Elephas maximus indicus: one gene and its partners. The protein of the gene in region 1 interacts with the protein of each later gene in a biochemical or structural test. Links are inferred from orthologs where the notes say so. Each region holds a gene or a part of one and is shown on either strand. Other genes may lie near its edges.

What was found. The genes of interacting proteins can lie anywhere in the genome.
Region 2: the proteins of caspase-8-like (region 1) and DEDD form a complex in vitro, tested with the Homo sapiens proteins (2 studies listed by BioGRID). The link is inferred for Elephas maximus indicus from reciprocal best matches to the Homo sapiens genes CASP8 and DEDD.
Region 3: of the proteins of caspase-8-like (region 1) and BCAP31, one has a biochemical effect on the other in vitro, tested with the Homo sapiens proteins (2 studies listed by BioGRID, with this or other methods). The link is inferred for Elephas maximus indicus from reciprocal best matches to the Homo sapiens genes CASP8 and BCAP31.

The regions. Positions count from the first base shown.
Region 1 is NC_064824.1:100,030,262-100,038,063, forward strand, and holds the start of caspase-8-like, read left to right. Parts: upstream 1-4,797; 5' UTR 4,798-4,815; intron 4,816-7,802. UniProt on the Homo sapiens protein: Thiol protease that plays a key role in programmed cell death by acting as a molecular switch for apoptosis, necroptosis and pyroptosis, and is required to prevent tissue damage during embryonic development and adulthood.
Region 2 is NC_064821.1:199,942,043-199,949,154, reverse strand, and holds the start of DEDD (death effector domain-containing protein), read left to right. Parts: upstream 1-4,096; 5' UTR 4,097-4,191; intron 4,192-4,275; exon of another isoform or gene 4,276-4,351; intron 4,352-6,122; 5' UTR 6,123-6,155; intron 6,156-7,112. UniProt on the Homo sapiens protein: A scaffold protein that directs CASP3 to certain substrates and facilitates their ordered degradation during apoptosis. May also play a role in mediating CASP3 cleavage of KRT18. Regulates degradation of intermediate filaments during apoptosis.
Region 3 is NC_064846.1:2,631,936-2,639,881, forward strand, and holds the start of BCAP31 (B-cell receptor-associated protein 31), read left to right. Parts: upstream 1-4,930; 5' UTR 4,931-5,006; intron 5,007-5,065; exon of another isoform or gene 5,066-5,220; intron 5,221-5,531; exon of another isoform or gene 5,532-6,010; intron 6,011-6,377; 5' UTR 6,378-6,417; coding exon 6,418-6,509; intron 6,510-7,932; coding exon 7,933-7,946. Other genes in the region: ABCD1 (ATP-binding cassette sub-family D member 1), read right to left, coding at 454-634, 3,337-4,242. UniProt on the Homo sapiens protein: Functions as a chaperone protein. Is one of the most abundant endoplasmic reticulum (ER) proteins.

The sequences.
Region 1 (7,802 bases):
CAAGCATCATATATGCTGGTTTGGGTGCTGTATATTAAGAATATCCTCAAAATTTCATGATTTCAAAATTAACCATCATGCCGTGAACAAACAAAAAATCTAGGGGGGGCTCATGAACCTAAATAAAATATGAAGACCACCTGCCTATAGGCTTTAGAGAGGATACCAGAAACTGGGTGATGAAAATCTATATTTACATAAAATGCTTTTAAATTAAAACTTTTTATTACAAAAAGAATATATGGTAACTGAAAAAAATTAGAAAATATAGATAAGAAAATGTCAATTACAGATATGTTTAGCAAACAAATATATTTAGATTGCAGATCACAAATACATTTAGATTTCAAGCTATCTGGGATACATTAGAACATAAATGCAGGATGTTAAATATTAACATATAGATAATTAAAAAAAAATTGACTATAAACCAACCATCTAAAGATTATCACTGTTAGCATTTTGCTGTTAGGTACGTCCTCCCAGTTTTTTTCTGTGACTGCCTCTATTTGGTAGGGAAGGCTTTGTGAAGGTACTGAGGTATTAGAGAGAAAGGAGGGGCACCAACCAGGCAGACCCCACAGGGGAGCTCCAGGTGGAAGCTGCGGTCTGTGAGGAGAACCAGGGTCAAGGCATCTCCTGTTTGAACACAGCCCTCCTGCAGGGAGACTCCCACTTGCCTGAGAAAAACAACTCCAAACCATAATTTTGTAGGGGTTCCACTGACCAAATGAGATCACGTGGATAAAGGGAATGAATTGGAGAAAACAAATCAAAGGAGACATTAGAGGAGACCATGTGCGTTAGAGAATCTGTAAATGACACTTATACTTGAGGGATATGTCAGAGGGACAAGAAGGAAAGTTAGTTTATCTGGAGGGGAAGTAAGAATTAGAGATAAAGACTTGAGGAGAGGTCTGAAGACCATGAGATTGGAGTGCAGCTCAGAGCCTGGGAATGTGGGTGGAGATTGGAATGGTGTGGGGCAGGATTCCAGTAGACCAAGGTGGTGGACTAAGAGGTGCAAAACAAAAATTAAAAAAACAGCTAGTACTTATTGATTGGGCTGAACTCACCCAGCCACAAACAGGAAGGGCTTTCATTTTTCTCCCATCCCTATCTTCAGTGATGGTACAAGTCTTCAGTGATGGCCCTGGTTAGACATAGGGTAGATCCTATAGCTTTAGACTCTCTTTTGGTTGTAAGAAAGATATTATTTAGATAGTTGTGGCTCATATTCAGTTATTAAAAATCTAGTCCAGATATAAAACTTTCATGTCACCTGCAGCTAGGGATGACTCATAATTAGAGGGCTTCCAGTTGAAAGGGATTGTTTCCTCTTCTTGAAGCCGTCATCTAATAGGTTCTTGTCAGGCCAACTAGTGAATTGAAGTCAGCCAGACACAGGGTTGGAAGAATAGAAAGGTTTAGTCACAGTTTGCAAACTGGGAGACAAGCAGGGTCTCGTGACCTAAGGCTGCCAGCTCCCTGAACCAGGGCAGATTTGCTCCTTTTATAGGGAGTAACATACGTACATGAACAGTGAGGGGAGGATCTTCAGTCTTTCGATGCATTCACAGTACGCATAATTTTAGTGAATGGGTTTTTGTGCAGGGCTCTAAAAATACTGCACACGGCCCTAAAAAAATGGCGATGGCTCACTGCTGTCACCCAGGAAGGTCAAATAGTGGGTAGATTCAGAGTCAGTGCACCTGTGCCTAGGCCTCCTGCCAGGAGAAGACAAGAAACCTGGGGATCAGACCAATCATGGTGAAGTGCTGTAAAAGTTGTAACAAAAATGTAGCAACAGTAGATTTTTCTGAAAAATAACTACTACGGGATGGTTAATAACCCTTGATAACTCTTTCATGACTGCCTGCTTCATTCTTGGTCTTTCACCCGCCATTCATTCAGTGGCTTTGGTTCTGAATTGGAGCAGTAATGAGGCAAAAGTCTTTCTGCTCTGATGCCCATCTCCCTGGAACTGAACAGGCGGCTCTGCCCTCTGTAACCAGGAAGGTGGCAGCCCAGCCCTCCAAACCTGTGCTGGCAGCCCTGCTGGCCTCTGAATTGCTCTGGGGATCATCTTTTCCTTTTCTTGAAGGGCAACAAATGTTTGCAGCCAAGCAGCACCATCAGCCCATTTCCTGCCTGTAGCATTCCAGGAGTTGGACAGTTTTACTTCTTTTCATCCTGTCTTTAGCCCCTTCAGTCTAAGCCGGTGACATTTCTATTAAGAAGGCTGATTGAATCCTAATATATATATATAATTTTTTTTTTTTCCTAAAGCTGGAAGACTGATTTGGGCTTTGGGAGGCCTTAGTTCCAGCTTAGGCGGCATGGCATTTGTTAAATACTGCTAGACTGGTGACTGAGCAGAGCGGAGAGGGGGCTGGGTGAGAGGAAAATAGCAGTTCTCTGCTGTGAAAATCCTGGAGGGGAAGAGGTTATTTTGATCCCTCTGGGTAGGTTGATGCTGCACTTTTGCAGGTCCAGCGTCATTTCCCTCTGGCTCTGGAGGCTTGTACTGACTGTCACTGCCTGGTCTCTCCCGACATGGGGAAATGCGTCCAGAGTGCTGCTAGCCTCAGCTCAAGTGCTCTGGCCAACAGGCCTGTAGGGTGCCAGCTACCTCACTACTGCCACTTTGCTACTTCTGAACGGTCTCTCTCTCTCCCCCCTGCCGCTCAGTTTGATTCCTCAACTTTGTCTTTGATGATCAGGGCTCCTAGATTGTCATATATAATCAATTCACTTGCTTTTTCCAAGCCTTTATTGTAAGAGAGACCACAGGAAGCTTCTTGAGTATTCTGCCATCTTGGGCCACCTCCCTGGATCCTAATATTAAGTGACATTCCTAATGTCTTTAGCAAACAGTTGTCCAGCCATACTCTTCTTCTCTCCAGAGCACATTCTCTCAATTTTTACAATATGGACAGGCTGAGAATTTTCCAGCTCTTCAAGTTTTTGTTCCTTTTTGTATAGTTCAATCCTTGATTTATCTCTTTCACTTTCATTTTACTATAAACAGGAAGAAGAAACCAGGCCATGCTGTCAAAATTTTGCTTAGGAATCTTCTCAGCTAAATATCCAAGCTCATCACTTCTGAGCTCTGCTTTCCACAAAACATTTGAATATAATTCAGTCAAGTAGTTTGCCACTTTAGAATAAGGATTGCCTTTCCTCCAGCATCCAATAACATGTTCATCATTTCCTTTTAAGCCCTCATCAGAAACACATTTAATATCCACATTTCTAGTAACATTCTGTTCATGATGATATTTGTATTCACTAAGATGATAGGGGGAGTCCCTGGGTGATGCAAATGCTTAAGTTTTTGACTACTAGCTGAAAAGTTGGCAGTTAAAAGCCACCCAGCGACGCCTCAGAAAACAGGCCCGGTGATCTGTTTCCGAAAGGTCACAGCCTTGAAAACCCTACAGAGCAGTTCTACTCTGCACACATGGTATCACTATGAGTTGGAATCAACTTGATGGCAACTAACAACAACAGCAAGGAGATGATAGAGGATGTCTCTACAGCTCTCCCCAATTTTTTCTGAGCTCTCACCGGGATCACCTTTAATGTTCCTAATTCTACCAACAGTCTCTTCAAGGCAATCTAGTCTTTTGCTATTAAGTACTTCAAGGCTCTTCCGGCTTCTACATATTACCTAATTTCAAAGCCATTTCCACATTTTAGTATTTGTAGCAACACCACCCCACTTCCTGGTATTAAACTCTGTGTTAGTTTCCTAGGGCTGCTGTAACAAAGTACCACAAACTGGGTGACTTATAAGAACAGAAATCTATTGTCTCACAGTTTTGGAGGCTAAAAGTCCAAATCAGGGTATCAACTGTGTTGATTCCTTCTGATGGCTCTGAGAGAGAAGCTGTTTCATGTCTCTGTCCTAGATGGAGGCTGCTCAGGATGCTGGGGCAGCATCAGGAAAAATCAGGATATAATTCCTGGGGTTTGGAGTTAGCCACTAACTAGCAGGTTTTCATGGTATTGCTATGTTTTCACTTAGAGTTTACTGGAAAAAATCAAGTGCTAGCTGAGGACATCGATATTACGATGTTGTCTATATCTTTTTTTTTTTTTTTCTATATCTAGCCCTCTACAGGTGAAGAGGCACTTTTAGACACCTCATTTTATCCTTGCAACTATAAGATGTGTCCCTGCCCTCTGAAAGCTTACATTCTGTTTTGAGAAAGACAACAGGCGGTTTCAAAAAGTGAGTTTTTTTTTTTCCTCTTTCTAATTTTAACATCAAAGAAAACATTTCATCTGAGTTGTGACATGAGGGCAGAGGGTTTCTGTGTTTTGTTCACCAGGGTCAGAGCCCCAGGGCCCAGATCAAAGGTGCTCAATAAATATTTATTGAAAGAATAAAGTTTTCATGATGAAGACATAAAAATCTGTAAATTCCTTGAACATGGAAAGAAAGTGTTCTTAGTTACCACCCAGCCCAACTCTCTCATTTTGGGATGTGGAAATGAGGGCCCAAAGGCAAAATGACCCATCCAAAAGCACAGAGCTAGAGCCACAGCTCAGACAACGAGGCTCCCTGCCCAGTGCTCTCTCCACTACACACTCAGCCTCTCTTGCAGGTCTAGAAGCCTGCTCAGGGGCCAGCCCTCCTGGTGTAGTCTCTGTGACTCAGGAGGTTTCATCAACCAGGAAATGTAGCTGGGCTGTGCCTTCCTTCAGGTCTTCAGTTTGAGTTTTACTCTTGTTTTCAACACACGGCCTACTGAAGAGAGTCCTGAAGAAGCCTCTGCCACAGTGAGGGCCCCAGGATTTGCCTCTTTGGTAAGATCGCTGGGCTTTTTGGGAGGAAGGCCTTTGATTCTAGAGTTTTCTAGGCTGCCGAGGGTGGAATCTGGTGGTCTTGGGGCCATGGAGGTGATCCGTTTGAGTGGGTACGAGGAAATCATGGGAGTTATCTGTAGGGAATCAGTTGTAAAATGGAGGTGATACTAACAATTTCTTCATAGACTTGCAGTAAAATGATACAAGAAAAAAATATTTTTATGTTTATATGATGATATAATTATATGGATATATGTTATAAATGTTTACGTATCATGTAAATATATATTTATATATAAATACTTTTGGATATAAATATATGAAATATAAGTATTCTAAAACATATATTTTATAATATAAATATATTTATACAGATTTATCACTTAACAGATATATAATATATATGCATTATATGGCAAAATATTTAAGTTTGTGTATGTTTATATATGAATATATGTACACATAAAATTATATGTTAATAAGATGGGAAAGAAAACCCTTAAAATGTGATCAAAGGAATTACTTATGAAGGGTAAGTTTGTAAGTAGTTTTTATTTTCTTCTTCAAACTTCCTTGTGCTTTCTCTAAGGACTGTTAACTTTACTATTTTTTATGATTAGAAAAATACAACTGTAAATGTTCTTTTGAAAATATTAACCTGACAAAGTTTCTAGCCCATGAGCTCATGCAGTGACTCTAAAAACCCAGGACCGATAAAATAAAAGCCTCCTCACAGCTTTTTTTTTTTTTAATTAACTTATACCCTATAGGATCTCTATTTTAAGAAAATCAGCCCCCTTTCTCTCATATATATTGCCTTTTTCCCCCAGTGTGCAGGGTATTTATTCCTTTAGTTTGTTTAGGGCAGTTTTTAACCAAATATTTTAGTAATTATTTATGAAAATTTATCAATCTTTTCTTTAATGGCTTCCAGATTTTGTGTTATACTTAGAAATATTTTCACAACTGAAAAATTATTTTTAAAAATTCTCCCCATTTTTTCGTCAGTGCTTTAATTTTATGGTTTAAGTCTTTGATTCAGCTGCAATTTATTTTGAAACAGATAGTCAGGATCTATTTCAGTTTTTTTCCAGAAGTCATTCTAACACCATGGGTTGAAAAAGCCACCTAAATGTAGATAGTTCTTTTTGTAGTGTTTTGATTTGATCATTTTTCGTTGTTAATTTCTAATTTAATTGCTTTGTAGCCAGAGAGTATGTCCATTTATTCCCAGGAAAGGACACCTGGATGCCTTCATCTCCTTGTTACCATAAATAACAATGCGGTGAACATCCTCAGACATCTGTGCCCTGCGGACTCATGTAAGAATTTACCTTGGAGATATACCCAGGAGTGGAAACCTGTGTCAAAATTTATGTGCCAACTTGAGTTGACAAGCCCTGTCATCTTGCTTTCCAGAAGGGCTATACCAGCGTAAGCTCTACAGAGTACATCGGACTGCTCTTTTCCCTACAGTCCCATTACTTTCCATTTTTCTACACTTCCCAATGTGAAAAGTTAAAGGAAAGTCTTATTTTTGTCTTAATTTGCATTTTTCTGCTGCTTATTAGTTTGAGCATTTCTTTGTATACTTTTAGCAATATGAGTTTTCCCTTCTGATGATTTGGTTATATTTTTATGTCTTTTGCCAAGAGTTTTTTTACTTTTGATTTTGTTTTGTTGTTGTTACTGGTTTTCGGCAGAACATTGAATGGTCTAGATATTTGTGCCACCTTCCTCCCGCTTTTTAAAAATATTTAGCATGTATTGGGAAACAGACATGAAAGACACAATCTCTGCCCACATGAAGCTCATAGGCTAGGCCAAAGCCAGACGGATCACAAAACAGCAGAACAGGTGTTGGAATAGGGGCATCCCAGGATGTCGAAGGAGCTAACCAGGATAGGGAAGTTAGGGAACACTTTCTGGAGGTGAAGTACAAGTAAAAGTTAACCTATAGTAGCTTTTTACAAATCCGTAGGTAAGTACAATGATAGTTTTAGCTTTTTAAATTTTTAATTATTTATTTTCGTAGTTGTTGAGAATATACACAGCAGAACCTACAACAGTTCAACAATTTCTACATGTACAATTCCATGACTTTGATTCTATTTCTCAAGTTGTGCAACCATTGTCATCCTTCTTTTCTGAATTATTCCTCCTCCGTTAATATAAACTCGCTGCCTCCTAAGTTTCCTATCTAATCTTTCCAGTTGTTTTTGCCAATTTGATCCCATATAGTTTTGTTGTTGTTGTTATTTATCTATTATACTTTAGATGAAGGTTTACAGAACAAACTAGCTTCTCATTAAGCATTTAGTACACATAGTGTTTTATGCCATTGGTTAACAACCCCACGACGTGTCAGCACTCTCCCTTCTTGACCTTGGGTTCCCTATTACCAGTTTTCCTGTCCCCTCTAGTCCTCAGCCTTCTCATCCTTGTCCCTGGGCTGTTGTGCCCTTTTAGTCTCATTTTGTTTTGTAGGCCTGCCTAATCTTTGGATGAGGGGTGAACCTCAGGAGTGATTTCATTATTGAGTTTCAAAGGATGTCTGGGGGCCATACTCTTGGGGTTTCTCCAGTCTCTGTCAGGCCAGTAAGTCTGGTGTTTTTTTTGTGAGTTAGGATTTTGTTCCACATTATTCTCCAGCTCTGTCTGGGACCCTCTATTTTGATCCCTGTCAGGGTAGTCAGTGGTGGTAGCCAGGTACATCTAGTTGTACTGGATTCAGTCTGGTGGAGGCTGTGGTAGTTGTGGTCCATTAGTCATTTGGACTAATCTTTCCCTTGTGTCCTTAGTTTTCTTCATTCTCCATTGCTCCTGAAGGGGTAAGACCAGTGGAGTATCTTAGATGGGCACTCATAGGCTTTTAAGACCCCAGATGCTACTCACCAAAGTAGAGTGTAGAACATCTTCTTTATAAACTATGTTATGCCAACTGAGCTAGATGTTCCCCAAGACCATGGTCCCCACAGCTCTCAGCC
Region 2 (7,112 bases), on another chromosome or scaffold:
GATGGTGCAGTGGGCTTCCCTGCTCACGGAGCAAGAAAGCTGAGTGCCTTTGGGCAGGAGGCTTGCTGAAGTAGGGTGCCTCTGGGCACTTGGTAGAGTTAGGTTTGCTGACGCATGGAACTAAAGCTGAGTGCCTTCCAGCCAAGGCTCATTGGTGGAGTTGGTTGCCTTTGAGCACTTATTGGCAAAGCTAAAAGAGCTTTGTAACACTTGCCCAAGCAGGGCAGAGGCTGAGGGACCACAGAGAAGCATGCCTGTGGGCACGGCTGGGAAGAGGCTATCCTGATGGAAAAACTATATCCTGGGCATCCCTGAACCTGAATTGTAACCTGTTACTTCCCTTATAAACTCCATAATCATGAGTATTGTCTGTGAGTTCTGTGCAACTATTGCAATGAATTATCAAACCCAGCAGAGAAGTAGAGAGTGCCATGGGAAGGGCAGTTGGTATTAGAATTAGTAAAGATGGTGGAGAGAGGAGACATGTCTGGCCTTTGTCTCATAGGTATCAGCTTTGACTTTGATTCTCCTTCCCTTTGTAATTTAGAGGTCAGATGCTGCACCCCCTCCACGCCATTTTTACCTGGCCCACCAAGGTGACTGGACAGTTACTGCTTAAGTAAATAAAGTATATGGAACCTGTGATGGTTAAGGTTATGTGTGAACTTGGCTGGGCCATGATTTTTAGTGGTTCAGCAGTTGTGTAATGATATAATTTGGCAGTTACGTAATGATGTAGTTATCCTCCATTTTGTGGTCTGAAGTAGCTACCCTCTTCTGATGTAATCTGTGATCTGATGTAATTATCCTCCATTTCGTAATATGTTATAAATCCTAGCCTCTATGCCTGTGGCTATGGTCCCATTTGGGAGTCAGCTGCCCATTATGTTAATGAGGCAGTATTAGGGTGGGATGTATCTTGAGTCACTGCCTTACTAGAGGGTGTGACTCAAGTCACACCCTTGTACCACCATGCTAAGGGGAGTTTCCTTGAGGGTATGGTCTGGATCCAATATATATATGAATGGCTAAACTTTCTCTCTTGCTCTGGATCCTGCATCTGGCTTGTCATCATCTGACCTCTGGTTCTTGGACTTGAGCCAGCAGCCTATCATCTGACCTGATTTGCCAGGTCTTGTGAGCAAGCAGCTTATTGTCTGACCTGCTGATTTGGGTTCATAGGCCCCTGCAGCCATGTGAGTCAGGAGAAGCCAACAGCCTGATAGCTTATCCACAGATTTGGGAACTGCCAGCCTCTACAACCGTGTGGACCATTTCCTTGATGGTTCATGAGTTCTGTGAGACATTGCAGTGAATTGTGGAACTCAAAGACAGGAGGGACTGTACCAAGAGGAGGAGTATAGTCAACGTTACAGATGATGGAGTGGTACAGCAGTTTGGAAAAGTTGGACATTTGGGACATCTTTAACCTCCGCTTCACATAGGAGCCAGCTTTGTGCTGATCCTTACAAAAGAAATTATTCATTCACATCCTTTTGCAAAAACTCTTCATCCTTTGAATCTTATGCCATCTGGCTCTTTAGCTCTCATACTTACTGAGGACTGCACCTATTAAACAGCCTCTCTTTGTGCCAACTCTTCTGTCATCCAGGGTTGTTTTAGAAGAATCTATGCGACACCTAGTTCTTGACCTCCTCAGCTTCAACTCATACTCCTACTTTCAATTCCTTAACTTCACAATTTCTGGCAATGCAGGTTTTTCTCGGTGGCTATAGTAAGGAATGGGAAGAGGGTAGCATTCTTCAGTGTGGAAAGACTGGTGGTGCCAGAGCAGGCTGCTGCTCACTTCAGGATTCAGTGGGAGACTGGGACTGGCAGCCATGACACAAAAGGGTGGAATAGCACAGTAGCTGGATTGTCTTGTGACACTTGGAGAAAAGTCCACGATCTGGATTTGACCTTTGTGCTGAGCTTCCCTGATGTTCAGTAAACCTAAGTCCAGACGTAAAAGTTCCTTTCTTGTTACCTGCCTTTCTAGGAATATCTGACACTTTTGACAACTTCTACCTTCTTGTAACACAATCTTACTTCTGACTCTATAATTATCTCCCAGTTTTTGTTCTTCCTCATTGGCTGTTGCATTTCAAAGGTCCTCCAAGTGCCTTAAATGTTACAATCCCCGAAAGCACTCTTCTTAACCCTCTGCTCTTCTCTGTAGAGCCTGTCCAAATCTATGGCTTCAGTTACCACAGAAATATTGATGATTCAGAATTTTGGCCTAGACATCACTGGAGTTTTTAAAAAATACTTTTCTATAAAAGAAATACATCGACACAATAAAACAAATTTCAGGACAGTACAGATGGACCTAAAATAAAGAAAAAGTATAGTTTCATGCCGCCTAAGGCCCACTTTGTAATTTTTCAATGTGTATGTAAACATGCCACATTTACTTTACAGCAATTGCTTTTCTTTACATTTAATATTTTTTTCTCATAAGTTTTAAATCTGTATATTCAACTGCCTCTTTTGGACATCTCCACCTGGGTGTCCCACAGGCACCTAAAATGCCTTCCCTCTCTTGGAATTCCTCCTCACTCTACAATCCTATCGCTAGCCTCCTTACAGTCAGCAGCTTAAAAAAATTGTCTTCATATATTATGCCTTTCCAGCCACTCAAGTAACCTCAACCTCCTTTCCACCCTACCATATCTCTGAAACAACTTTCTCCAAAATTACCAAACGTTGCAAACTCCAATGGACACATTTTAGCCCATATCTTACCTGATCTGTTACATTTTAACCAGCTTCCTTGATACTTCCCTCCTGGTTTTCCTTTCTATTTGCCCCTTCTCAGTGCCCTCTTTTCAGCGTCTTTCTCTAACTCATATATCAAATGCAGGTATTCCTCCTTCTAGACCGTCTTATCTACTCCCATGGCTTCAACTGTCATCCACACACACACAGAAACACCCCAAATCTCTTTTGGGTCCTAAACCCACGTTATCTAAGATTCAACTGTCTAATGGATATCTCTTTTGGATGTCCCACAGGCACCTCAAACTCCACATGTGCAAAAAGTGACTCTTTTCCCCAAAACAAACAAACAAAAAATGGCATTATTCTCAGTTTTTCAATCCAGAACACTGGGAATCATCTTGAGCTCCTCCCTCTGCCTCATACTCCCCAAATCCAATCTATTTCTCCCCATTCGCACTACGCCTTCTCTAGGTCAGACCACTGTCATCTCCCGCCTGGATAGGAACTTCCCAATTGTTCTCCTTGCTCCTAACATCACCCCAAACAAGACAACCAACTATGTTTCTAAAATGCAAACATAATTGTTCACATTTTTGCGGAGTTCCTTCAGACTCTTCATTGCCCTTAGAAAGAAGTCAATTAATTTACAAATCCTTGCGTGATCTGCCCCTGCCTATCTAACAGGTTTCATTTATTACCTTTCTTTTAGCCATACCAGGCTGCTGGCAGCTCCAGAACGTACCCAGCCTCCCAATTCCCAATAGTCCTTCAGGATTCAGCTCAGGCGACACCTCCTTTGGAAACAGAGAGCTCAAAAGACAAACGCTGAAAGAATGAAATCTGAGACCGGATACGAGCAGCCCTTTCAACACCGGGCCCAGGTTTACGGAATGTCCGGGTTACCAGGAAGTTCAACACAAAGGTCAAATCCAGATCTTGAACCTCCCCCGAAAGATCGCGGGTCAACCCGACCCCCGAGCTATTCCATCCTTTTGAGTCACGGCTGCCAGTCCCAGTCTCTCAATGAGTCCTGAAGTCAACAGCAGCCTGCTCTGGCGCCACCAATCTTTCCACACTTAAGAATGGTACCCTCTTCCCATTCCTTGCTACGGCCCTGAAGCCGTCAAGAAAAGCCTGCGTTGCCAGCTTGCCCCAAAGCAAGATGGCTGCCATTCTCTATTCTCTCCTCCCAAAGTGAAGCTCTCCACTCCCCGTTTAATGCCGCTGCCAGGCTGCCCTCACCTAGTATGGCTACCCCGGCTCATTTCTCACTATGGTCTCGAAGCCGCCACTAACCGGCCAGGTTCCGGGCGGCGCTGTTCAGGATGCAGCCACCCCCGCCCGTCTCTCCCCTCCCCCACGCCCGCGGCGGCGGCGGCGGCGGCTGGAGCCCGGATGCGGCGCCGTGAGCCAGGCCCGGGAGAGCGGCGCGGATGAATCCAACATGGCGGCGCCGAGCCTGAGCCGAGAGTGAGGCGACGGGGCGGCCGGAGTGGGGAGGGGGAGTCGAGCGGGACGGGGCGGGGCCGGGCGGGGCCGCAAAGGGCTTGGGGAAGGAAAGTGGAGGGGGAGGCGGTGGCGACGTCCAGCCTGAGAACCTCAAGAGGAGGAGGTGACGGGACGCTGCGAGGTGGGGGAGGGGAGCAGCCGAGGGGGGCGTGCGGGGGAGATGGCAACTGTGGGAGAGGGCAGGGGTCGAAGTGGAGGAGTGGGGACGTGAAGAGGGGCGTAAACAAGGGCCGAGGCTGGGCCGGGCTAGGGGTATAAGAGAGGCCGAGGTGGGGAGTGGGGCTGCGATCCGGATGGATTGAGGGGGGTAGGAGCGGAGGGGAGAGGCTGAGGGTGAGAAGGGGAAGGGGGCTTGTGGCATGTGGTTGGAAGGTGGACAGGACTCGTGTGTGTGGGGGGGTGTTGTGTAGAGGTGGAAAAGGTGAGAATGGGACCTCAGACGTTTGGGGGAAGGTTTTGAAAGTGTTAAATTGGGGGGAGGGGAAGGGTTTAGGGCAGAATTTGGGTAGAAAGGAAGAGAACAGAGGTTTGGGGAATGCAGAGTGTCGGTGTGACGAGGTAATGGAGAAAGTGAGGGACTGGGAGGAAAGTTTGGAAGGAAGAGGAATGGGATGGGAGACAGGACAGTGGAGCTCTACGGGTGACAGAGGTTCAGGGGTTTCCCTTTCCCCTGTGGAAAAGAAAGGACGGAGTTAAGCAGCATCACTTGTAGCCAATTCTAATTGCCAGGCCTTTAGCTTTTAATAGGGTGGGAAGGCAGAAGGAAATGGTCATGTGAGTTTGGAAAATTGGGCTTGGATGAGGGTTCAATTGGATTTGCTTACCAGAGGCTCCCTAGTTTATTGCTCCCTTGTTTTTCCTGGTTACGAAGAAAAGGGGGGGGGGGAATGGGGAAGCTGGTGTCGACAGTATGGAAGAAGTAAAGGACTTTTCTAGTTTTAGCAGTTAGTAAGTAAGAATGGGGAAACAGCTATGACTCTGTTGGAGGCTCTTTAAGGCTGAAGAGGGGAACAGAAGAGGCAGGATGGCATCCAGGCTAATTCAATGAGTGATTTAGTTTCCAGACCCTTCTTTTACTGTTAAAGTGCTAGGAGGGAGGGGTCAGTGTGCACATATAAAGTTTTCTGGTGAAATGTGGATGTATCAGTGGATGCCGCCCAGTGGATATTTTGTTCTCCCTGTGTGGTACGTAAAAACCAAAACCAAACTCACTGCCGTCGAGTCGATTCCGACTCGTAGCGACCCTATGGGACGGAGTGGAACTGCCCCATAGAGTTTCCAAGGAGCGCCTGGCGGATTCAAACTGCCGACCTTTTGGTTAGCAGCTGTAGCATTTAACCACTACGCCACCAGGGTTTCTGTGTGGTACGTAAGGGGAGGGGCAAATTTGGAAGATAATTCTTGGCCTGATGGGAAGAAAGTGACTTCTTTGGCTGTAGCCACCTTCCTCCTAGTTCTCTCTGAGGAAGATGAAAGTAAACATTAACATTGTAACAAGATAGATGGATATTATAAGGAATCCGGGGGAAGGTGAGAAGGGTTCAGAAAGTAATTGGTTTTTCCAGAAGTTGTTGAATTTGGGACCTTTCTTGCCACATGCCATTAAGAATGGAAATTCTTGAAGCTGGTATTGTTTTATGAAGGTTAGTAGAGAGTTAGGGAAGCCTGGTGTGTTTTTTTTTTTTTTTTTTTTTTGATGTGAGTTCTCTCATTTAGCTTAAAGTAGATCATTTCAGTAGAAATGGCTTTAGGCTTGTCTGTATTTTTGCAGCTGAGATTGACTAACTTTTTGGGGCTTTGAGGTTTCAAAGCAAAGCTTGAAAATTGACTTTTTCCCCCTCCCTTATTTTATTTATTTATTTTTTTGCTGCTGGATTTGAACCTTGTGCTAGGAAGAGGCCTGGGAAATTAAGTTTCTTGCAGAGGTAAGTCTGGAACTTTTTATTGTTTTCAGACAATGGAAGGGAAAGGAAATGGCATGAGAAATGCAGTGGGGTTGAGCCCAGGAATGGGGTAGGCTCCAGGCAAAATGAATTTTCACCTACCCAGCTGAGTGCATAAAGCACAGAGAAGATCTGTTACAGTTACTGTCTTCTTAGGTAACTGGAGATAGGTGGAAAGGAGAGGGGAAATGAGGTGTCTTGGGGCAAACCTCCAGCTTTGGTTTGTTATTATCTTAATCTTGGTCAGCTCTGGGAGAAACATTTTTAACATATGGAACATTGTACGCCAGTACAATGTCTGCTAACTGTTGCCTTTGGAGTGTTGCTGGGGCACCTTCCATGGGAAAGTTTTGCCTTTAGTTTACTCTTTGTTCTAGTTGTTAAGAGTTCCTGGAATCTTTCTTTTGAAAACATAATATGGAATTCTGACTCTCAGATATTTGGTTACGTTTTCCTAGTCCCACCAGCAAGAAAGCTCTTTATTCTTAACCATCTATAAGATTTTCTATGTTGTTTTTAAAAATCACCCTTTTTTAGTTCTTCCATATGAATTTGCTCTGAAGGCTTCTGAGAGAGCCAAATACCTATTAGTTCTCCCATAAACATACAAATATCATCCCTGGTTGGGGTGAGACTAGGCTTTGCTTGCAAGTGGAACCTTTAGAGAACAGCCAATCAAGAGGAAATTCTGTAGATACATATAGACTGTCAGGTGGCCCTTGGCTGACTTGGACCTCCCTAAAGAAAAAAAACAAAAACTATAACTCTCAGGAAATAAAGCAGTTCATCAGAGTCAATAATTTTTCTTGGAAAACTCTAGAGAGGGACCCACATGTTAGGATCTCAAATGGAACCAGATGAGCCTGCAGGATCAGGACTCTGTTTATTGGAGTGTTAGTCTCTTGGTACCTGGCAGTGTTTCAGACACCAACATTCAGA
Region 3 (7,946 bases), on another chromosome or scaffold:
AGCTATCGATTAACCTAAGCCTCTTTTCAATGATGCGTGGTGACGTTTGAACAGTAACTGCTAAAGACTAAAAGGAGAACGTATACCTTTCAGATCAGTAGAGAGACAAAATGAAAATAAAGAAACCTGAACGGCTAAGACAAGAGGCAGGTCAGGCTTCCCCCTCCCGCAAGGCCTTCTGGCCAAATCACTTCCCTTTGCAACCTACGGATGGAGAATCAAAGGCACACTAGTGGATGCTGCTCTACTCTCTGTCTCCCCGCGTTCAAGTGGCAGCAGGTTCAAGGGCAGGGACATGTGAACGAGGGTGCACGTGGGTGGTGAAGGGACACCCTGAAGTGCAGTCCCTGGGCATGGCTATGAGCAGCGCTATGAAGGCGAGGCACACGCAGGGGGAAGGACACTGAGGAGCTGACTGGAGGACTAGCCCGTGGCCCAGGGTCTGGCTCTCACCTGACTCCGAGTAGCCAGTGGCGGTAATGATGGGTACAGCCACCATGAGCAGGCCTGAGGCGCTCCATACATACTTCATGAGGAACTGCTCCAGCATGACGTACCACAGGCGCTCCAGCAGGATGAGGTTGATCTGTGAGGCCAGGTCCTGGTAGGAGTGCCGCAGCAGGGCCAGCTCTACCTGCGGGCCACCAGAGAGCCAGCGGCCTGGTGAGAATGGCCGGGCTGGGCGACAACCCAGAGGACCCAGAGCACTGCTCACACAGGCCACACCACTCAATGGTCTGACAAGGCTTACAACAGGGCTGTGTTTACAGAGGACGGGTCTGAAACCAGCGGCAGGGGCTTGCCCAAGTTTCTAGCACTGGGGCACAGCAGCAGTGACAAAGGAACTCACCCTGACTGGGGCTGGGGCGCTCAACGCTCCCTTCTTTGCTCTGGGCAGCTTCTAGCCTCTGTGGAGCCCATACTCTGGGCAATCATTTGGGGGCCTCCGTCCCAACACCCTCCTCCTGGCCCTGGTTCCCAGGCACGGAGACCGAAAGCAGTGGCACTGGTAGCACCTTGGTTTTGAGAACACTGAGCCCAGTCTCTCCCTCCCTAGGCACTGCCCTGCCAGTCTACTTTTCCAAAGTTCCTTGTAGTGAGAACTTATACTGCATTTTCCCACAGAAACCACGAGGGCGCGCTTCACAGCCAGTCCCTCTGGCCTTGCTCCATGTTGGACTGCCCCAAGCCCACAGCCCTCTGCCTCAGGCCAGCTTCCGGCTCCAGCCCGCTGGCTCCACAGTGGTGTGGAGCCTCCCCTCCCATTCCTCCATTGGCTACCACCTGCCATATCAGGGTGGGGACAGGGTGGGGGGGAGGGGCCTTGGTGGATGGGTCCTGCAGGGCCCAAAAAAGAGAGAGGGTGGAGAGAGGAAGAGGGTTCCTTGTGGCAGCAGCAGACCAACAGACTGTGGAGACATGGAGGTCTCCAGAAGTGGTGACGGCAAAGGGGGCCATTGGGTTGTGGACTTCTTGGCTCAGTACAGGGACCCTCTGGACGCCCAGCCTGGCCTTTCCACACCCAACCGACTGCCCAGACTGGCTCCTTTTGCCAAGTGCTTTCGCACTAGGCTCTCCATTTGATTCTCGCACCGCCTCATCGAATGTGCTCATTGTACAGTAGGCCAATGAAGCCCAGAGAGGCAAAGTGCCCTGCCCAAGGTCACACAGCATGGAGGTAGCAAGCACTGCTGGAATTTGAATCACGCTGCCAAAGCCCTTGAAAACCCTGGTGGCATAGTAGTTAAGAGCTACATGAACCAAAAGGTCGGCAGTTTGAATTGACCAGGTGCTCCTCGGTCACTATGAGTTGGCAATGGGTTTGGTTCTTGGTTGCCAGAGTCCTTAGGAGAATAAGATTCTTTTAATTGTTCCCAAGTAAATAAGAGGGTGTGTGTGTGTGGAAATGACCCCTCCATGGGAATTCCAATAAAAACAGAATGCTCTGCTATAGAGCCCTCCACTAGCCAGCCAGTCGCTTTTGCCCTACCTGGAGATCTGAGCCTGGGCCAGTGTCCGTGGGGACATCAGCCAGTGAGGTTGGGGTGCGACATATGTCTGCACAGCCAGCGCATTCAGCCCACCCTGTGGCCCGTCACCCCCTCCTCTCCCTCCCCCACCCAGCTCCTCATCCACCCAGGCAAGCAGACCTCCTGGGTGGCCTCTATGTATTGAAGCTGGCCAAGGGGAAGTCCTTCAAATGTCTCTCCTGCCTACCCCCACCCAGGGCCTCGGGCCAAGTCTCCCGTTCCTGAAACGAGCCCGCATCGAGCCCGCATCTTCCGAGCACCCTGGCAATCTGGACTTGCACTGTGAGCTGGCAAGTGTGCCAGCCAGAGCTGATAATGTAGCCACGGGGAATGTGCCAAGCACCTCACCCAAGGCCACAGCTGCCTGCCAAGGCGCTGCCAGCCTGCATGCAGGAGAGGAGGATCGGGCAGAGGGGATCACAGCCCAGTGTTGGGCACTTGTTCCCCTGATCAGCAGCCAGCTCCTGGCCCAGGACGCCCCTCCCTGCGGAGAAGGTTGACGACAGGCCGTTTTGGTCCAGGAGAAGTCTGCTCCTGTGCCCAGTGCAAAGCCACCAAGACAAGGTCGGGGTCCTGGGAACACATGCAGGCCTTCAGGGAGCAGAGGCCATCGTGCCCCTCCCCCCAGGAGAACCGAAACCAGAGTCGCAGGGAGCAGGGCCTGAGGCAGCTGCAACCCCAGGCACGAGGAAGGGGAGGGGCGAGGCGAGATAAAGGGAGTGCTGGCCGGGAGTAACCTTGCTGCGCCCCCCCTCAGGCTGGCCGCCCAGGAAGCTGTGCCTGGGGGCCGGGCGGAAGGGCGGTCACGCTGGGGCAGGCTGGCAGGAAGTGCGTCCCGCTGCAGCGACGGCCGGGCCAGTGGGCCCTTGGGGGCGGCTGTGACCCTAAGCGCTGCGACTGCCACGCTGGGCGCTGCTTGTTAATCTCCGCGTGGGCTGAGTCATGCCCATAATGCCCAGCTGCCAGACGCGGGCCCTAGGCCGGCCTTCAAAGGGCCGAAGGGCTGGCCAGGAGGCCGTGCATCCACTCGTCCCGCTCCCAGTGGTCTGCTGGAGTGCGCAAGGTGGGAGCTCTGAATCCGAACCGCTAGGATCCACAGCCCAAGGCCAGCGGTGCTGCCCAGGAGGGAGGAAGCAGAAGTGGCCTGGAGTGTGCAGGCGGCTGGGACCAGGCAACCCCCACCAGTCTTCCTGCTTCTCCATTTCTGCAGCCCAGGGCCCTGTCTGTTCTCAGCCCCCTCTTGCATCCACGCTGTGCCCCCACCCCAGGCCTTCCTCATGCCTCCCAGCGCCCCAACCTGCCCCACCTCGTGGCCCCCGTAGAAAGCGATCTCCTCCGAGTTGGCCACCACACGAGAGTGCATGTAGCGCAGCTCCCCCTTCCTCCGCGCCTCCTCTGCCACTAGCTCCCCGAACTTGGGTGAGAAGGCCCGCAGCACGTTGGCGGTGAGGAATACCACGAGGCCAGCAATGGCCGAGGGCCAGGCTGTGCCAGCTCCGCGGGAGCGGGCTGCCCGAAGCAGGGTGTAGGAGGTCACAGCCACGTCCAGGAGCGGCTTGGTCAGGTTGGAGTAGAGGTGAGCCACAGAGGCAGCAAAGGCTACCAAGTCCTCTGTCAGGGACTGGTCAGGGTTGCGAAGGCGCCCGTCCATGTTGCTGACTCGGTAGTAGGTCTGCTGGGAGAAATAGAGGCTGTAGGCGTGGGCCACCAGACGGCTGCGGAAGGACAGGGCCAGCTGGCCCTCCAGGTAGCGGATGGCACTGTTGATGAAAGTGGCAGGTAGGGCGATGAGGAGCCACTGGAGGAGCTGCCAGCCGAAGGCCCGTGGGTCCTTGCGGACGATGCAGCGGGCCAAACGTCCATCCAGGCGGGCCACATAGACCGACAGGAAAGTCCGGCTCACCAGGGCAGCCGAGTGCAGCGCCAGGAGCCCGGTCTCCCGGCACAGGACCCGGGGAAAGAGCAGGCGCAGGAGCCACAGGAGTCGTTGCAGGAACACCCGGTTCACGCTGGCCTTGGCTGCTGTGGCTGCTGCCCCGGAGGCCTCCTGCGCGGGCTCCCCTGCTGGCCCTGGAGGGCCCCTTGCTGGACCCAGGCACTGCCGCACCAGGGGGTAGATTTTGTGGGCTCCATAGGCGGTGAGGGCCAGGACCACGGCTGTGCGCTTCAGCGTGGTCACCCTCGAAGGCCGGGGGGTGGAGAGCACCGGCATGTCACCTGGTTGGCACCCGCTGGGCTGGGACTAGTGCCTGAGACTGCAGTCCAGGCAGGTGGCTGGAAGGGTCCTTGCTCTGACCCCGGGCTCGTTGTCTAGGCAACTGGAGGCCTTGCACTGGTCACTGAAATTGTTGCTTTAGGCAACTGAGGCGCTGCTGGGGCCCCTGGTGCGGTGGGCTCAGGGCCCTCCAGTGTCTTGGCCTCTTCAGGCAGCTGAGCAGGAAGACCTTAGCTCCCCTCTGTGTCAGTCTCCTAGCCCTTGGTGTCAGAGCTTTGAAAGGTTGAGGGCAGGGAGGACTTCTCTTCCCCTCCACCTCCTCCTACCCAAGTGGAGCCCCCGCCCGGGGTACCAGGCGCGTACGTCCGCTCCACAGCCTGGCTGAAGCGACAGTGACTCCGCCACTGGCCCATAATCCCCACCCACCCACCCCTCCCCAGGGGCGAGTCAGGGAAGGGGAGGAGGCGGAGGAGGAGCGGGAGGCGGAGCCCGGGCGCAGGGCTCCGCACCCCGTTCTCGCCCCACGGGAAGGCCCCGCCTCCTCCCCGCCTCCTCCCCGCCACAGAGACCTGGAGGGCCACGCGGACTGGAGGAGCGGCCTTCGCCTTCCCGCCAAGGCCCCGCCCCGCTCCGCGCGCGCCGCGAAACCGCGTTGCCTCGGGGCCGCCGGCTGCCCGCCCCGCCCGGGCCTCGGCGCCCTGCCCTCAGCTGGGGGGGTGGTGGGCAGTGGCCGTGGGGGGAGCCGCCCGGGCCTCGCCACGGTTGGTGGGCGGGCTGGGAAGGGCGTGGCCGGCGGGGCCACTTCCGGCTTCCGGCCGCGGGGGAAGGGGCGGGACTTGCGGCTGTGGAGGGAGGGTTCGGCGGCGGCTGCGGCGGCAGCGCGTGCGTCGTGGCTGAGGTGAAATTCGGCCAGCGGCCTGCGCGCTGGTGTGTGCGCTGAGGTCCTCAGGCACCTCGACGGGTGCAGCGGGGCTGGTAGCTAGCGGAGAGAGGCCCGGGGGCCGGGGCTGCGGGGCGCGTCGCGAGCCAGGGCGTAGAGCCTGCGGGCCAGGCTAAGGGAGTCGGGGCGGCGGGGCGGCGGGGCGGCGGGGCGGCGGGGCGGCGTCCGCGGGCGGAGCCCGGCTCAGGGCGCGGGCGGGCGGCGGCGAGCCCTCGTGAGGAGCCGTCACGGTGGGAAGTGGAGCCGCGAGTGGGTTGAGGCGCCGAGTCGGCGGAGAGAGCTTGCGGCCCGGGCCATGGCGGAGCCCCTGGGGTAGCGCGGCCCAAGTGGAAAGGTTTCTGAGCTTGCGGTGGGCAAGAGCAGAGCTACCGTAGTTTGCCAGGGAGGGCACCTCTGGCTTTCTAGAAGAGTGATCCTTCTCGAACTTTCTCTGCATGGGGCCCTGAGGTGCTTAGTGGAGACCTGAGTTTTCCCTTGGCCCTGGCTTCTGCCCTCTAGGAGTCGCTCTTGTGGGCTTTTCTGAGGCACCGCGAGTCATCCAGGCCCGCTCGGAGGCCGCAGCGGCAGTTGCAAGGCTGTTTTCGCCCTGGCCTTCTCAGTGGCCGCTGGTGCAGCCCCACAGGGAGGGCTGCTGCTTTTCTCTAGGCCCTCTTGGGAGGGCTGGGGGATAGGGCCTCCAGACTGCCCCCGGGGGTGGGGGCCGCCACGCAGCTTTGAGAGGAAGTGCTGTTCCTGGAACACTGCAGTGCCGGAGCTGCAGCAGAGCTCCTCTTGGCTGGGAAAGGAGCGTGCCCGACGGCCGTCTGAGCAGCTCTGCTGTTTTGTGTAATGCTTTTTATTGAAAGTGCTTTTGCAGTCGAACATGCATAAGGAGTCTCTTGGACTCCCCAGAGAAAGGGGCCCATTTGGCGAACAGTCATCAAGAAAGGTGGCACTGGACATGTTAGAACACATACTAGAGGGCAGCAGTGACTTTATTCCAGCCAGTGGAAGTTTGTTAGGCTCTGGAACAGTATTGGCCAAGTCGCCCTGCTGAGCTGAGCTGTGTCCCAGCCAGTGCTTCAAAGACTCCGAAGTAGGGCGCTAGGGTACAGGTTAAAGAATGGCTGTCCCAGTCTCTCAGGGACCTTGAACTGGCTGTCACTGGCTACCCAACTCTCATGCTTCTCTTGTTCCTTCTCTGCCCTGTCAGGAAAGTGCTTACTTCATTGGAAACCATCTAGCTGCAGAGGATGAGTCTGCAGTGGGTCGCAGTTGCCACCTTCCTCTATGCAGAGGTCTTTGCTGTGTTGCTTCTCTGCATTCCCTTCATTTCTCCGAAAAGGTATGGCCTGTGGAGCAAGCAAGCGAGCAGGAGGGTGACTGGCGGTCTGTTGCCGAGGCTGGTAGCTTATGTGTACAGAATTGGTGGGCCCTGGAATTGGGACCGGGCAGGAACAGGTAGAAATTGTCTGGGGTTGGGGTGGCAGAGGTTATGCTTAGTACTGCCAACCTTCTACCGTGTTGCTGTTCTGCTTTGTCACATTTGGCTGAGTTCCTTTCCTGTGCGTCCTGCCTTCTGGTCTTCAGAGTGCCCCGAAGAAGACCGTCTATCTCTAGTTATGGTTCTGGGAATCATGCCCTCCTTTCTACCCTTAGGTCCCTGGGGTGCTGGGGATGGCAGTGTGGGATCCTGAAGAGTTGTACCACTGGATCACATTGCTGCTGAGTTGGTGACTTCTGTCCTCCTAATTAGTCTCACTAGCATTGCCTCATGAGGATTACTCAGCCTGTGAAGGGTGAAGCCATGTTCTGTTTTAATGGACGGAGGACCTGTTAAGAGTTGATTTGGAATGAATTTTTAATTACACGTGGTACAGAAACACATCCTTACTAAAATTAAGAAGTTACAAATAAGACTAAGTCTCTCCAGGTTCTTAAAAAAAAAAACGTTACATTGCAAGGCACAGACTCCCGACCTGATAAAATAGGAAGTATACGGCTCCACCAAAGACCAAACCTAAACTGTTCATCCCTCGTAGAGTTCAGAGGAAATGCAGCAGACAGAAAAACCCCTTGGAGCTGGATCTGGGAAACTTTATAAGACGAATGACCTGGTTTCTTCGAAGAATAAATGGCAGAGGGAAAGGGAAACTTCTAGAATAGAGATTTAAGATACCATCTACATGTAGGACTGGAACTTTGTCGGGTTCTGAGTCAAACCAACTCTTTAAAAGACTGCCCAAATTAGAAATTTGAACTCTGGCTTTGGTATTGAGAAATTACTGCTAATTTTCTTTATGTCTGGTAACAGTGTTGTGATTATATTAAATATTTTTAAAGGGTCTTGTGTTTTAGAGGTCTGTACTGAAACATCTGTGGATGAAAATGATAGGTCACCTGGGATTTGTTTCATAATTTAGAGTACAGACGAAACAACATCAGTCAAGATCAGTTTAAAGAAATGATACGTGTGCGTGGTGGGAATTTTGAATACCACAAAAGGGAAGGTGGGAAAATTAAGTTTCCTACCTCAGAGATTACCATTTTTTAAGAATGTGGTTTTTGAGTAATTTCTACACATGGACAAGCATCTTTATATTTTGTTAATCCTTCTGACCGGATGTCATAAACTGGACAACAGCAGCTGAGGCTGACTGATTTTTGGCTGTTAGGGAAGAATGCACAGCCAGATTTCTGCTCTGTTCAGGGCCCAGGGTCCAGTGTGTCTTTCTCTTCAACCCCAGTCCATTTTGTCTTTTTCACAGATGGCAGAAGATTT